3 linked regions of the Saccharomyces cerevisiae S288C genome follow. The protein of the gene in region 3 purifies or fractionates together with the protein of the main gene of each other region. This does not show direct contact. Each region holds a gene or a part of one and is shown on either strand. Other genes may lie near its edges. The genes, in order: ARP9, VPS1 and SNF5.

Evidence for each region.
Region 1: the proteins of SNF5 (region 3) and ARP9 purify together in Saccharomyces cerevisiae (affinity purification with mass spectrometry; 5 studies listed by BioGRID, with this or other methods). This does not show direct contact.
Region 2: the proteins of SNF5 (region 3) and VPS1 purify together in Saccharomyces cerevisiae (affinity purification with mass spectrometry, with the first as the bait; 2 studies listed by BioGRID). This does not show direct contact.

The regions. Positions count from the first base shown.
Region 1 is NC_001145.3:336,283-339,880, reverse strand, and holds ARP9 (Arp9p), read right to left. Parts: upstream 2,094-3,598; coding exon 2,064-2,093; intron 1,978-2,063; coding exon 604-1,977; downstream 1-603. Other genes in the region: RCH1 (Rch1p), read left to right, coding at 1-463; YMR030W-A (uncharacterized protein), read right to left, coding at 2,278-2,568; formin-binding protein HOF1, read right to left, coding at 2,574-3,598.
Region 2 is NC_001143.9:440,108-444,321, reverse strand, and holds VPS1 (dynamin-like GTPase VPS1), read left to right. Parts: upstream 1-1,599; coding exon 1,600-3,714; downstream 3,715-4,214. Other genes in the region: polynucleotide adenylyltransferase PAP1, read right to left, coding at 1-1,090.
Region 3 is NC_001134.8:777,745-782,891, reverse strand, and holds SNF5 (Snf5p), read right to left. Parts: upstream 3,226-5,147; coding exon 508-3,225; downstream 1-507. Other genes in the region: BSD2 (Bsd2p), read right to left, coding at 1-301; APM3 (Apm3p), read left to right, coding at 3,429-4,880; YBR287W (uncharacterized protein), read right to left, coding at 5,038-5,147. UniProt on the Saccharomyces cerevisiae protein: Involved in transcriptional activation. Component of the SWI/SNF complex, an ATP-dependent chromatin-remodeling complex, which is required for the positive and negative regulation of gene expression of a large number of genes.

The sequences.
Region 1 (3,598 bases), on a different chromosome or scaffold from region 3:
CACGGGTCTGTCATACTTATGTGCAAGGCCATGGTTCATCCTCAAGCTTTTCCCTCATGAACCAATAGAGGGCAAATCTACAAGATTGTACCGCTATTCGTATAATATCTTTAGGCCTTTTTATTATTCAAAGGAAGATGCGATTTGCATTATGTTTTGTGGCCCGGCTAAAACTGCAGCACTGGGTGTATCACTAATTACTTCACAATACGGCGATAAAAAAGAACACCTGGGTAAGTTGTTGGTTCCCTTGGTTTTATATCAAGTTGAGCAAGTCATGACGGCAAATTTCTTTGTAAGCTTGTTCAAAAGATGGATACAAAAGGACGCTCAAGCAGACGGAAGCGAGTCATCTTGTGCAAATGAGAATGAGGAAGTTGATTTGGAAAAGATCATATCAATTGGAACTGGTGAAAATCAATCCGTTCTGTCGAACAACGTCCCATATACACAACCAAGGTGATATTTCCCTTGTTAATTTTGCATGAATTCTATATATTACATAACGTTTATGTATATATTTCCCATCCTCATTGGATGGAAAAAACTAAACAGCACATATTCACACGGATTTTGGATACACGAAGCATCTATCACGTATTCTTAAAATTGCACGTCCCAAAGAGCAGCCGGTCCTTTCATATTATACTTTTCTCTTGTGATATAAAATGTATCTTTAGGATGAGTGAAAATTTGCTTAGAAACAATTTGGGCACCCAAGAATATAATCTCTGAATATCCACTTTTCTTCCACTCAGGAAAGTAATCTGGATATTTAGCCAGTTTGATTACTGTAGGACACTGTACGTATTCTATAGTTGGAACAAATGCGGTGCTATTTGTCATAAACTTGCTTTTCTTTTTTGTTGCAGCTGGTAATACGGATTTCGCTTCCTCTTCTCTTTTTGACTTCTCTTCCTCTGGCTCTATAATTAAATGGTCTTTCAGTAGTTGACCCAGTAAAGCTTCTTTAAAACCTGAAATTGAAGTAGTGCCACCGACGATGATAATATTTTCCCAAACGGCTTTAGCTTTGTTAATATCATCTATGTTATCTAACGTCAATCCTACACGATTAGAAATATTCTTAATCAGGTTATTACATCCTTGGAATCTTTGCTTACCAACTTTAATTTCGTTACCTTTTTCATCCCAAAAAGTATTGAATTCCAAGTCGCTATTTTTAACATTTTTGACTTTTTGACCACGTTCTCTTTCCTCTAAAACTTCACGTGTATCACGACCACTTGTAATAATCTCGGCAACGTTTAAAGTTCCTTCATCCTCGTCCTCATTTTCGTTTCCAAAATCGAAACTTGATAGTTTTTTGGCGTCGTCACTGAGCACCTCAAAAATTGGTGATTTTTTCAATGATTCTATCTGATCATCGTCCCATTGAGGTAGTAGTTTTTTTAGAGAATCATTAATAGACTGTCCGCCCATTGGTATTGAAGAGACAAGATGGTCTAATTGTGCATAGTCAACAATAGGAATAATATCTGTATGATGTGTTCCAACATCAATAATACAACAATTCTGCAACGAAATCATAGAATAAGTGGCCGCTAAGGAAGCCGGCAATTGGATTAGATTGTTTATCTCAAGACTTTCGAAGACATATTGAGTAATAATCTCTAGATCCGATTGCGACCAAGAGTGGTGCGTAATCAGTAGAAGAGGAATATTAGATAATTCAGCTTCAAAAGCATCTTGATTTTTATTAGCTCTATCAGACAAAATAGATACAAATATTAGTCTAAGAAATTGTGTAAAGGCGCTTATGTCTATTATTTCACCATTTTGGATTGGTTTGATTAATTCGGCTTTATTATCCTTGTTCGTTGAATGATATGTGTAGGAACCATCTTGTCTCGTGGTCCGATAAATCTGTGTTGGTATTTCCAGCTCAGGTACAGTGAATGTTTCTTCATTCAAACCAAATTGAACGAGAGTAGTTTGAGATCTGGGGTATATTATCTGTTATGAATTGTTGTTAGTATAAAAGATTAACCAAAAACTGTTCGTGAAGACTTAAAAAATCCATTGATGAACTAAATACGTACCAAAATACTGTCCTGCCTAAATGGAGCCATATTCAATGCATATAGTAGTTGTTCAAGACACTTAACTTCGCGTGGTACATTTTTTCTAATTCCGCAATATTGTCAGTTTACTATTAGAGATTTATAATGTTGAAATTTGCTTTTAGCCACTGCGCGGAAATATGTAGTATTCGTAACAAGTGACTCTAATGATATAAACACAGTAGAACTGTCATTAGAGCACATTAAATAATATGTATATCTTATTGCGTCCAAATGAACATAAAAGTGGAAAGGGAATGCCTGACCTAACAATTATCGTGATTATTGTGTCAAAAATGGTAAAGAAAACTTTTTTTTTTTTTGAAAATATGAAGGAAAGACGTGATATTTTATGATTTTTAGTTACAAATCCGGAGAGGTGTCCTTCTCCCACGGCAGCGTATATCTTTCTATTTCTACTTAACAAAAATCTGACATTATACTTTTTTTCTTTTATCAGAAAACTAGTAAAATTGATATACATCGAGATCAAAGACCTTGATGCAGTAGCTGAATGAAATTATAGGGAATTAATCCTATCCTATGATTTCTATCTATACGGTCATTATCATAAACTTCACCTTTATACCAATCTTTATTAACAATCTCAGTAATTAGCAGATAGTCGCCCTTATGGAAATTCGCTAATCCAGGTGCCTCATTTCCAATCAATGGATACATGGCCTTGGCATATTCAATGACTGGAAAACCTTCACTGGTGACAATAGGCAAGGTAACAGTAATACCTCTATCCCTGACCACACCTCTCTCATCCATGATGTTTCCTGTTTTTGTACCTGGTTTAGAACTACTTTGGATTCTTTCCATTTCGTACAAGGCATCTTCAATTGGATTACTTGAATCTTGCATTATCATGGATTGTCTATGCGTGTGCCCCCTAGACGTTCCTCTTACTGCCACAGGAGGTTTGAACAAAATTGTGCTTGTACTGGTATCTCTCCTCGTGTTATAATCATCTTCATTGAGGTTGTGCGCAGAGTTAGGCGTTCTTCCCCCATCATCCGACCTCGAAGAAGCGGATGAGGGTACTTGCAAATGGCTCATAGATTTTCTTTTCCTATTTGACGAGTTCCATGATTTGGCAAATCTCTGTGAGTCGTCTATACTATTGGCCATTGAACTTACGGATGTAGTCATAGATTCCATACTTTGTCTCTTTTTGATGTGGCTAAAATCCGTTGGATTAGAAGAACTTGATTCTGATGGTGAGCTGAGAGATTGATTTCTTTTATGCACCATTAGACCTTTTTCATCAGGATTTTTCGAATCTTCATCAGGTTTAAGTTGTTCTTCCCCAACAATCGGCCTTGGTTTATCAGGTTTCTGCCTTAACACGGAGTCATCCACATTGCTCTGTAACTGGACGGGTGAAGACCTCAAAGATAATGTTGGGTTAGCAACCACTTTTGTCTCATTACGTATGACGGGTGTGGAATTTCTAAATTGTGTAGCCATGGTGACTTCTGGAGATGGCAATGGTTTCTCATATTTGT
Region 2 (4,214 bases), on a different chromosome or scaffold from region 3:
TTTCTAAATAGAACTTGTATCGAAAGAAAAAATCGTTTTTTTCGAATAAATTGGCCCAGGACTTCTTATTGGAAAAAATATCATTCGTAATTTGAACGCCTCTTACGAATTCCTGTAAAATGACTTTTTTAGTAGATTCCGTGATGTTATGGGTAGCACACATTGATGGATAAGCTGGTGTAATGACGGGCATTCTATGAGACCTGTCTTGGGCATATATCTTTGGATTCCATACACGAACTTGTAACGGGCCATCCTCAATTGGTTTCAAGATAACAGGTTGTGGCCAATTCCATTCCGACAAAATGATGAAAAATCTGTTCAATATAACTGCGCTACAGGCGTTAGGGTATAGTTGACAAATTCTAGCCACTAGCATGGCCCAAGCCACACCACCAGGAAAACCAAAAATATTAGCATAAACAGCCCTTCTTTGGGCCCATAGCTTAATAGCTCTTAAAGCGATTCTGAAAACATTCGGCTTTGGTACCAGTTCTAATATCTCATCTGTTACTCTGGTACCATTCAAAGCTCTCAAGTCCTTCTCGTCTAGATTTCGCAGTAGATTTTTATCTGATAAAGTCAAGGATAAAGGCACTTGAGGTTGGTCTAGACGTGCACAGATTAAATCGATAGAAATACCACTGAACTTTATCTTGATAATCGGGACAAACGCATCAGGTACAGGTGCAATTTCATCCAGTTCCTTCCTCTCTCTCAGTAGTGAATCAAATACCGTAAAAAAATCTTCCCGAGTTACATGTTTTGGAACAACTACCAAAGTATCGATATCACTACCAGGCCCATGGACTCCTAGTCTATAGGACCCATACGTAAAAATCTTCCCACCAGCATCCCTTGCCATCCCGTCTGACATATTTTTCTTCTTCGATACTTCATAAACAAATCTTTGTGCCAATTCCTGCAATATTTTCAACACTTGTACCCTATTGGCAGTTTCTTGCTCTGTTTCGAACGATCCTTCCTTTTTCAGTTCTTGGATTAAACTATCATTTAATTTATTTTCTGCTGCTGTGGCGCCCACGGTGGAAACAGGTCCAGTAATACCAAAAACCTTTTGAGAGCTCATTATTTGTCTAAAAAAAGTTTATGCGTTAAATATTTTGCTAATTCTAGGCCTCTTTTGATTCAAAAAAGACCGTTTAAAGACTTGCTCACAGTGAAATTATTTAGCTAGTTTAGTGTCTTTAAACTTTTGCTAAAACGTTTCACTTGAAAAATCGTTCTAATATCGTCCAGAGGATAGTATGATAGCTTCAGAGAATTCGATAGATACTTGAATCCTCTAATAGTCGAAAAATGCTCGAGGGTAAACCACTTGTGCGCTTGGACTGGCCTAGTTTCCAAAACCAATGTTCTAATGGATTGATTTCTTCCCCAAACATTATTAAGTGGCCGGGTCACCCAAAGACTTGGGCGCCGTTGATTCGCGTCGCTTTGCCATCAAGAGAACAACATATCTTCCAAGACAGACCGAGATAATTCATCTATTTACTCCTAAAAAAGAATTAGAGAGGCCTTTTATAGCACCAAAATAAGGACCGTACGAAAACTGCACATTTTATATTATCAGATATCATGGATGAGCATTTAATTTCTACTATTAACAAGCTTCAGGACGCTTTGGCGCCCTTAGGAGGAGGATCTCAATCTCCTATTGATTTACCACAGATCACTGTTGTCGGTTCCCAGTCGTCAGGAAAGTCGTCCGTTTTGGAGAACATTGTTGGTAGGGATTTCTTGCCAAGAGGTACTGGTATTGTCACCAGGAGACCTTTAGTGTTACAATTGATTAATAGGAGACCAAAAAAGTCAGAACATGCTAAAGTAAACCAAACTGCTAATGAATTGATTGACTTGAACATCAACGATGATGACAAGAAAAAGGATGAATCAGGAAAGCACCAGAACGAGGGACAATCTGAAGACAATAAAGAGGAATGGGGTGAATTTTTGCATTTACCTGGTAAGAAGTTTTATAATTTTGACGAAATTAGAAAGGAAATCGTCAAAGAAACTGACAAAGTGACAGGTGCCAATTCAGGTATTTCTTCTGTGCCCATTAACTTGAGAATTTATTCTCCGCATGTTCTTACTTTGACGTTAGTGGATTTGCCTGGGTTGACGAAGGTTCCCGTAGGTGACCAACCTCCTGATATTGAAAGACAAATTAAGGACATGTTGTTAAAGTATATTTCGAAACCAAACGCTATCATATTATCTGTTAATGCCGCTAACACCGATTTAGCCAACAGCGATGGTTTGAAGCTGGCTAGAGAGGTCGATCCAGAAGGAACGAGAACTATTGGTGTCTTGACAAAAGTCGATTTGATGGATCAAGGTACAGATGTCATAGATATTTTGGCTGGAAGAGTCATTCCTTTGAGATATGGTTATATCCCAGTTATCAATAGAGGTCAAAAGGATATTGAACACAAAAAAACAATCAGAGAAGCCCTTGAAAACGAAAGAAAATTTTTTGAGAACCATCCCTCTTACAGTTCTAAAGCTCATTACTGTGGTACACCATATTTGGCTAAAAAGTTAAACTCAATCTTATTACACCACATTAGGCAAACTCTGCCAGAAATCAAAGCGAAAATCGAAGCCACATTGAAAAAATATCAAAACGAACTTATAAACTTGGGCCCAGAAACTATGGATTCAGCTAGTTCGGTTGTTTTGAGCATGATTACTGATTTTTCCAATGAATATGCCGGTATCTTGGACGGTGAGGCGAAGGAGCTTTCCAGTCAGGAACTTTCTGGTGGTGCTAGAATTTCTTACGTATTCCATGAAACTTTCAAAAATGGTGTAGACTCTTTGGATCCATTCGACCAGATCAAAGATTCTGATATCAGAACCATTATGTACAATAGTTCAGGTTCTGCCCCATCTTTGTTTGTCGGTACCGAAGCTTTTGAAGTTTTAGTTAAACAGCAAATTAGAAGATTTGAAGAACCATCTCTACGTTTAGTTACTCTGGTGTTTGATGAACTTGTTCGTATGCTAAAACAGATTATTTCACAACCAAAGTACTCAAGGTATCCTGCTCTAAGAGAAGCGATTTCTAATCAGTTCATTCAGTTCTTAAAGGATGCTACTATTCCTACGAATGAGTTTGTTGTCGATATCATCAAAGCTGAACAAACTTACATCAATACAGCCCATCCCGACCTTTTGAAGGGTTCTCAAGCAATGGTTATGGTGGAAGAAAAATTACATCCTCGCCAAGTCGCTGTTGACCCAAAGACGGGTAAACCATTACCAACCCAACCATCGTCTAGTAAGGCGCCAGTTATGGAAGAGAAATCAGGATTTTTTGGTGGGTTCTTCTCCACTAAAAACAAGAAGAAATTGGCAGCTTTGGAATCCCCACCTCCTGTTTTAAAAGCTACTGGCCAAATGACAGAGAGGGAAACAATGGAAACAGAAGTAATCAAGTTGTTGATTAGTAGTTATTTCTCTATTGTCAAAAGAACCATTGCCGATATTATACCAAAGGCTTTGATGCTTAAATTGATTGTGAAAAGTAAAACTGATATTCAGAAAGTTTTACTCGAAAAACTTTACGGAAAGCAAGATATTGAAGAATTAACGAAAGAAAACGACATAACCATTCAAAGAAGAAAAGAATGTAAGAAGATGGTCGAGATATTGAGAAACGCTAGTCAAATCGTCTCCTCTGTTTAGGTTTTCCTCATCTATACCGGTCGACTCAAGCTTGGTTTTGAGTATTTCTCCCTAATATTTACTGCAAATCTTATATATTGTTCTTGTATACGTGGAAGCTAGTCTATAAATTATGCTTTTGAAGAATTTCCTATCTCGCATTACGATCCTAGTATCTTTTGTCCAATATGAAGAAGGTCAACATGAGGATGGGAATGATAATTGATAGCATATAATATTATTCTTTTGTCAATACTAGTGTTTAGGATATTTCTACTAATACCTAATACCTCAATGGTCCAATACTAAATAAGGTACTATTCATTGTATTGATTGATTCTGCATTTATCTTTCTCTTGAACCGTAAATATCATTTTCATAAGTCACATGATAAAAACATATTTAAAATTTTAAAAAAATTAATTTTCAAAATAAATTTATTATATTTTTTTAATTACATAATCATAAAAATAAATGTTCATGATTTCCGAACGTATAAAATAAGAATGTTACGAGAATTT
Region 3 (5,147 bases):
GTGTACGTTTCTTAAAAAGTCTATCAAGAATATTAAAATGTCTTCCTATTTTTCCTATATGTCTGGCTGCTTGTTCCCTCAGCTGGTGTGGTACTAGTCTTTCTGTCGTACTATTTCCTCCACTGCTGCTTCCCTCGTCCTCTATGCTATCTTCCTCGTCAGACCCTATTTCCGTTTCCCCTTCTACGCCAGTTTGTGTGTCTCTAGTTCGTCCTGCGTTTCCGACATTTATGCCATCAGTAGATGAACCTGCATGAAGTGTATTCATTTCTTGCCCTATAAGTAGTTCTTGCTCTGGCATAGCGCTTAGTTTCCTAGACTACGTGTTCTTGTTATTCTCATGCTCTTTTTATGTATCTAAATTGGAAGATTTTTATAAAGGTTATGTACTATTCTTCTAAAAAAAGTAGGCGCAAAGGGACTCCGCATCGTATAACACGATGATAATACAAATTCTTCCACGGTTATTTACATCTCCGGTATATTTTATATATGTGTATATATTTTCTATGTATTCTGTGTGTTATTGTTACTGCTACCATTATTGCTATTAGTCAACAATGTCGCTTCGCTATCATGTGGTGCTACTGGAGGTGCTATAGGAAGACTAGGTGTAGGTACCGATTTACTAGCTGCCCCACCTGGGATTACTGGCTGCAGTGTGGGATTGGGTGAATTAGTAACAGTGTGATTGGCAATCGGGTTTGGGATTGAAGGTATCGTCACACCAGCGCGAATGTTACTATTCAGCTTAGTTTTCAGCGATTCTGGACTCGGAAGCATTGCATTGGTGCCACTACTTGTGTCATTGGGCGCTGCTGCGAACTCTTCTTTTGTATTAACTTTCCCAGGCAGTTTAATAGAAAGTAGTAGCGAATGACCCGGAATATGGTCAATAATATAACAAGGAGGTGAAACTGGCTTAGGTCTATCTGGCCTGCTTTTATAAGTGGTTGTGTTTCTCAATTCGTACGATTCCACAGAAGGGCCTACGTCAACACCACCAGGCATTAAAGTGCTAGGTACTGGAGTCCTGAAAGTTCTTGGAATATCTGCAATATCTGGCAGTAAAATCTCTCCTGGTGGCAACGATGAAGCATTTCCTGCTGCTACTGTGTTGTGAACGCCGTTCATAGATGTATTACTTGCAGATGTGCCGGACAATGCGAGCATACCACGTCTATTAGATCTACCTTGTCTTCTTTTCCTTCTTGTGTCTCTGTCCTTATCTTTATCCAATCTCTCTAACTCTGCAGCTGAAATCTGTAATAGGTTTGGAGTAAAAATTTTGCTTTCCGCTGCAGGCCTATAAACATCATCAAGAGTAATCGTTGGGAGCATTCTGCTTCTAATGTCATCATCTTCTATCGCTGATCCATCAAAATTGTAACCTAACAGTGCCAGTGATTTATGATACATATGAACTTGCTCTCTTATGGAGTGAGCAATGGCAGTCACAAACTCACCTGGTAGTTCTAATTCTTGACACATGGACTCTGCAAACTCTTCTGGACAGTTATCACTATTAGAGATGTCCCACTCAAATTGATCGATTAACTGGTTTTGTCCCACGACAATATCCAGCTTGATTCTAATTCTCAAGTCATCACCGCCTAGACGGTCCTGATTCAACTCTATATATGGATTTCCTTGAAACTCCTGAATCTGCTCTTGTATAGATTGACAAATAGTATCAATGTGTTGCTCTCTCGTAGCGTCCTCAAATCGGTAATCTCGCAACATGTCGTCCACAAAGTCTTCAATTTTAATAAGCTTGTCATTTTTGTTCCATAACAAAGTGTCCCTGAGGAAGAATCTGTCACGATCTTGATCGAACTCCAATCTTATGGGAACTAACTGTTCCGATGTCTCATTCATGGCCTGTTTATAGACTTTTAATTTATCCTCTAGGTAATGCTTCCTATTTCCAACTTCTACTTGTGGAATAACTCTGGTAGTTGTATTCGTAATCCCATTACCATACCCTGAGTAACCATTTCCCCAAATACTTGCCGAAGGAATCTTCTGAGAAGTGCTTGTGATAGATTTCATTCTAGTGTTCTTCAAATCTTGATAATACTTCAGTGTATGCCACAGTCTACTAATATACTCTTTATTACTAAATCCATAAATGCTAAACGGATCGTAACCATTGGTTTCTCTTATTAGCGAATATTTGTTAATTTTATCACGCTGGATAATTTGTTCGTACAACAAAGTATCCGTATCTGCTTTTTTGTCTGACCAATAGGTTGGATATGGTAGCTTGGTTTCTGGTGGATCGTATTGAATAGTTTGGTACTTGGGTAAGTTTAATTTTGGAAGTTGAGGAAGTTGGCCAATAGTTGGCTGAACATTGGTGGGAGGTTGTCCACTCATGGATCTAACTTGAGGAACTTGCTGAGATTGCGGTATTTGTCCTTGCTGCTGCTGCTGCTGCTGCTGCTGTTGTTGTTGTTGTTGCTGTTGTTGTTGCTGCTGCTGTTGCTGTTGCTGTTGCTGCTGTTGCTGTTGTTGTTGTTGTTGTTGCTGATGCTGCTGCTGCTGTTGTTGTTGCTTTTGTTGCTGCTGTTGTATTTGCACATGATGCCTAAACTGTTGTTGCTGTTGTCGCTGTATTTGGTTTCTAAGTTGCTGCTGCTGTTGCTGCTGAACCAGCAATTGCCTCTGCTGTTCTAGCTGAGTTTGTGCCGTTTGCTGTCCCTTTTGCTGCTCAATTTGGCGTTGCACTTGTTGTTGTGCAACAGTAATTGCATTCACAACCTGTGGATTATTTTTTGCTATGGCCTGCTGCCTCAACTTGTTCAAAACTTGTTGCTGTGTAGCCAAAGGTAACTGAGCAATTTGTGGAGGCAAATTAATAGGCGCTGGAGCTAAGGGCACTTGACCAATTTGGGGATGTAAGTTGTGTGGTGCTGGAGGAGGAGGAGGGGTAGAAGTCGCTGATTGATTAGCAATGGGTTGAGATTGTTGCGGAGGAGGGGGTGGAGATTGATGCGTTTGCGGTGGCGGTGAAGTTTGTTGTTGTTGTTGTTGTTGTTGTTGTAGACGACTCCTCAGTAACTGTTGGTGTCGTTGCTGAATCATCTGCAATTGTTGTGGTGTGAGGCTCTGATACAGCTGTTGCGGAATTTGCGCCATGTTAAAAGATGGAGTTCCAATGTTGCTAAATATATTTCCAATACTATTTGGAACGCTGTTGGTACCCTGCGGCTGATTATTCATTGTTGCTTTTGTGTAGTTCTTTACTATATGTTCCCTTGATGATGCTTTGTTTTGGTGTTTATGTTTGAAATTTCAGTTTCTTTTAAATGCGACGAAAAATGAAATTTTTGGTCAAAGAACAAGAAGAGATTTATTTAAAGTTGGCGATAACAGGACTTGGGCAACAACAGAGGCTGTAAACCTTACCAACCCAACCAAAATAGATGTATTTGTCATTCTATATCACTGATACAAAGAACAAACTTATTTTCCAGTATCTTTTAGGTGCAACAGCTCCCTCCTTCAAGCACCTGTGGACCCGCGTTCAGTCCACATGTCCTCAATTGCTCGAAGATAGCAGTAGTGATGATTATTTAGACCATTCAATGGTTGGAAGAGATTTAGAGGTCTATAAGTATTTCTCAGTTATAAATAAGCTCAATTATTGGTGCTTAGCCTCCACTTCGAAGTCAAAAGGCCCGCTTGATTGTTTTACCTTTTTAGAGACTATAGATCGTATCCTGTTAGAATATTTTGACAAGGATAAATTAAGTATCAAGAAAATTGTTAATAATTATGATAGAATCAGTTTGATTTTTAACTGTTGCGTCGAAGCGGGTGAACCAAATGTGAGTGATATGCTCTATGTTAATAAAATTAAAGAAGCTGTTCCTGAAAGATCGGATTTATCGAAGTTCATAAGTTCTACAGCCCATAATTTACAGCAGGCTGTGCAACTCCCACAACAAAGGCAACAGCAGCTACAACAAAATCAGATTTCTCGTGGTAGTAATTCACTAATCGAAAATGAAGAGATTGTTCCCTGGAGAACTTCAAGGGCTAGCAAACATGAGAATAATGAGCTTTATGTGGATTTGTTAGAAACATTCCATGTTGTATTTGAAAAGAAAAAATCACATCTAAGGTTGCTCACTGGAAGTATCCATGGAATAGTGGACGTGAGATCTTATTTGAATGATAATCCTCTAGTTGCAGTAAAATTAAACACTATGGGAAATGATATAGGTATACCCAGTTTGCATGACTGTGTTGAAATCAATGATGGTGTGTTTTCTCCCTCTAATATAACGTTTATACCACCAGATGGGAAGTTCAGATTGCTGGAGTATTCCGTCGATTTAAGTTCTCAAGTAAAGCAATCCGGAGTAAGGATGAATTCTATTGGCTTGATGTCTTTACACTTCCAAAATGGATTGGGTAAAGATTCTGATGAATTTGAGTTATCCTTAAATATTGAAAATTTCAAAAAAGTTTCACAAGTTGATGACCTAAAAATAGATTTACAGTTCAATGTTGAGAATGCTGATCCAAATGAAATAGCATATAAGATAAAAATATTGCGCAATACTCATGGCCGTTTTGAAAATAGCATTATCATGGGTCAAGGACAATGGATTTTTGATAAATCAACTGCCACTGGAACGGTACCTGTACTACGTGGCTGTATTGAGTATGAAAATACTGGGCCAAATTTTACAAAAAAAGTTGATTTACAAACAGTCTCCTTAGAATATTCTTACATAGGACAATCGGCCAGTGGAATCTATGTAGAAGCCATCGATATTGTATCTGGATTAACAATTGGCAAAAATACAAAGCTGTACAAGGGTGCAAAGTATAAGACCCAGACAGGCAATTTTCAAGTAAGGCTGTAGTTATATGTGTACTTGAAATTCCATGCGAAACTAAATAGAATATAATGAGAATATAAGTCTTGGAATAAAAAAGGAATATAAAACTATGCTAAAAAAAAAAAAAAATGAATAAGACTTTCATTCATGAAGACTCTATACAAAGGAATGAAAAGTTGTATTAAGTTGGGTTAGCCCACTGTAAAACGTAAATTGCACCTGAGACAACAATAATACTTACAGGCAAACTTAAGACAGCGTACCCCCAAAATAGAATATCGGCCATTTCTG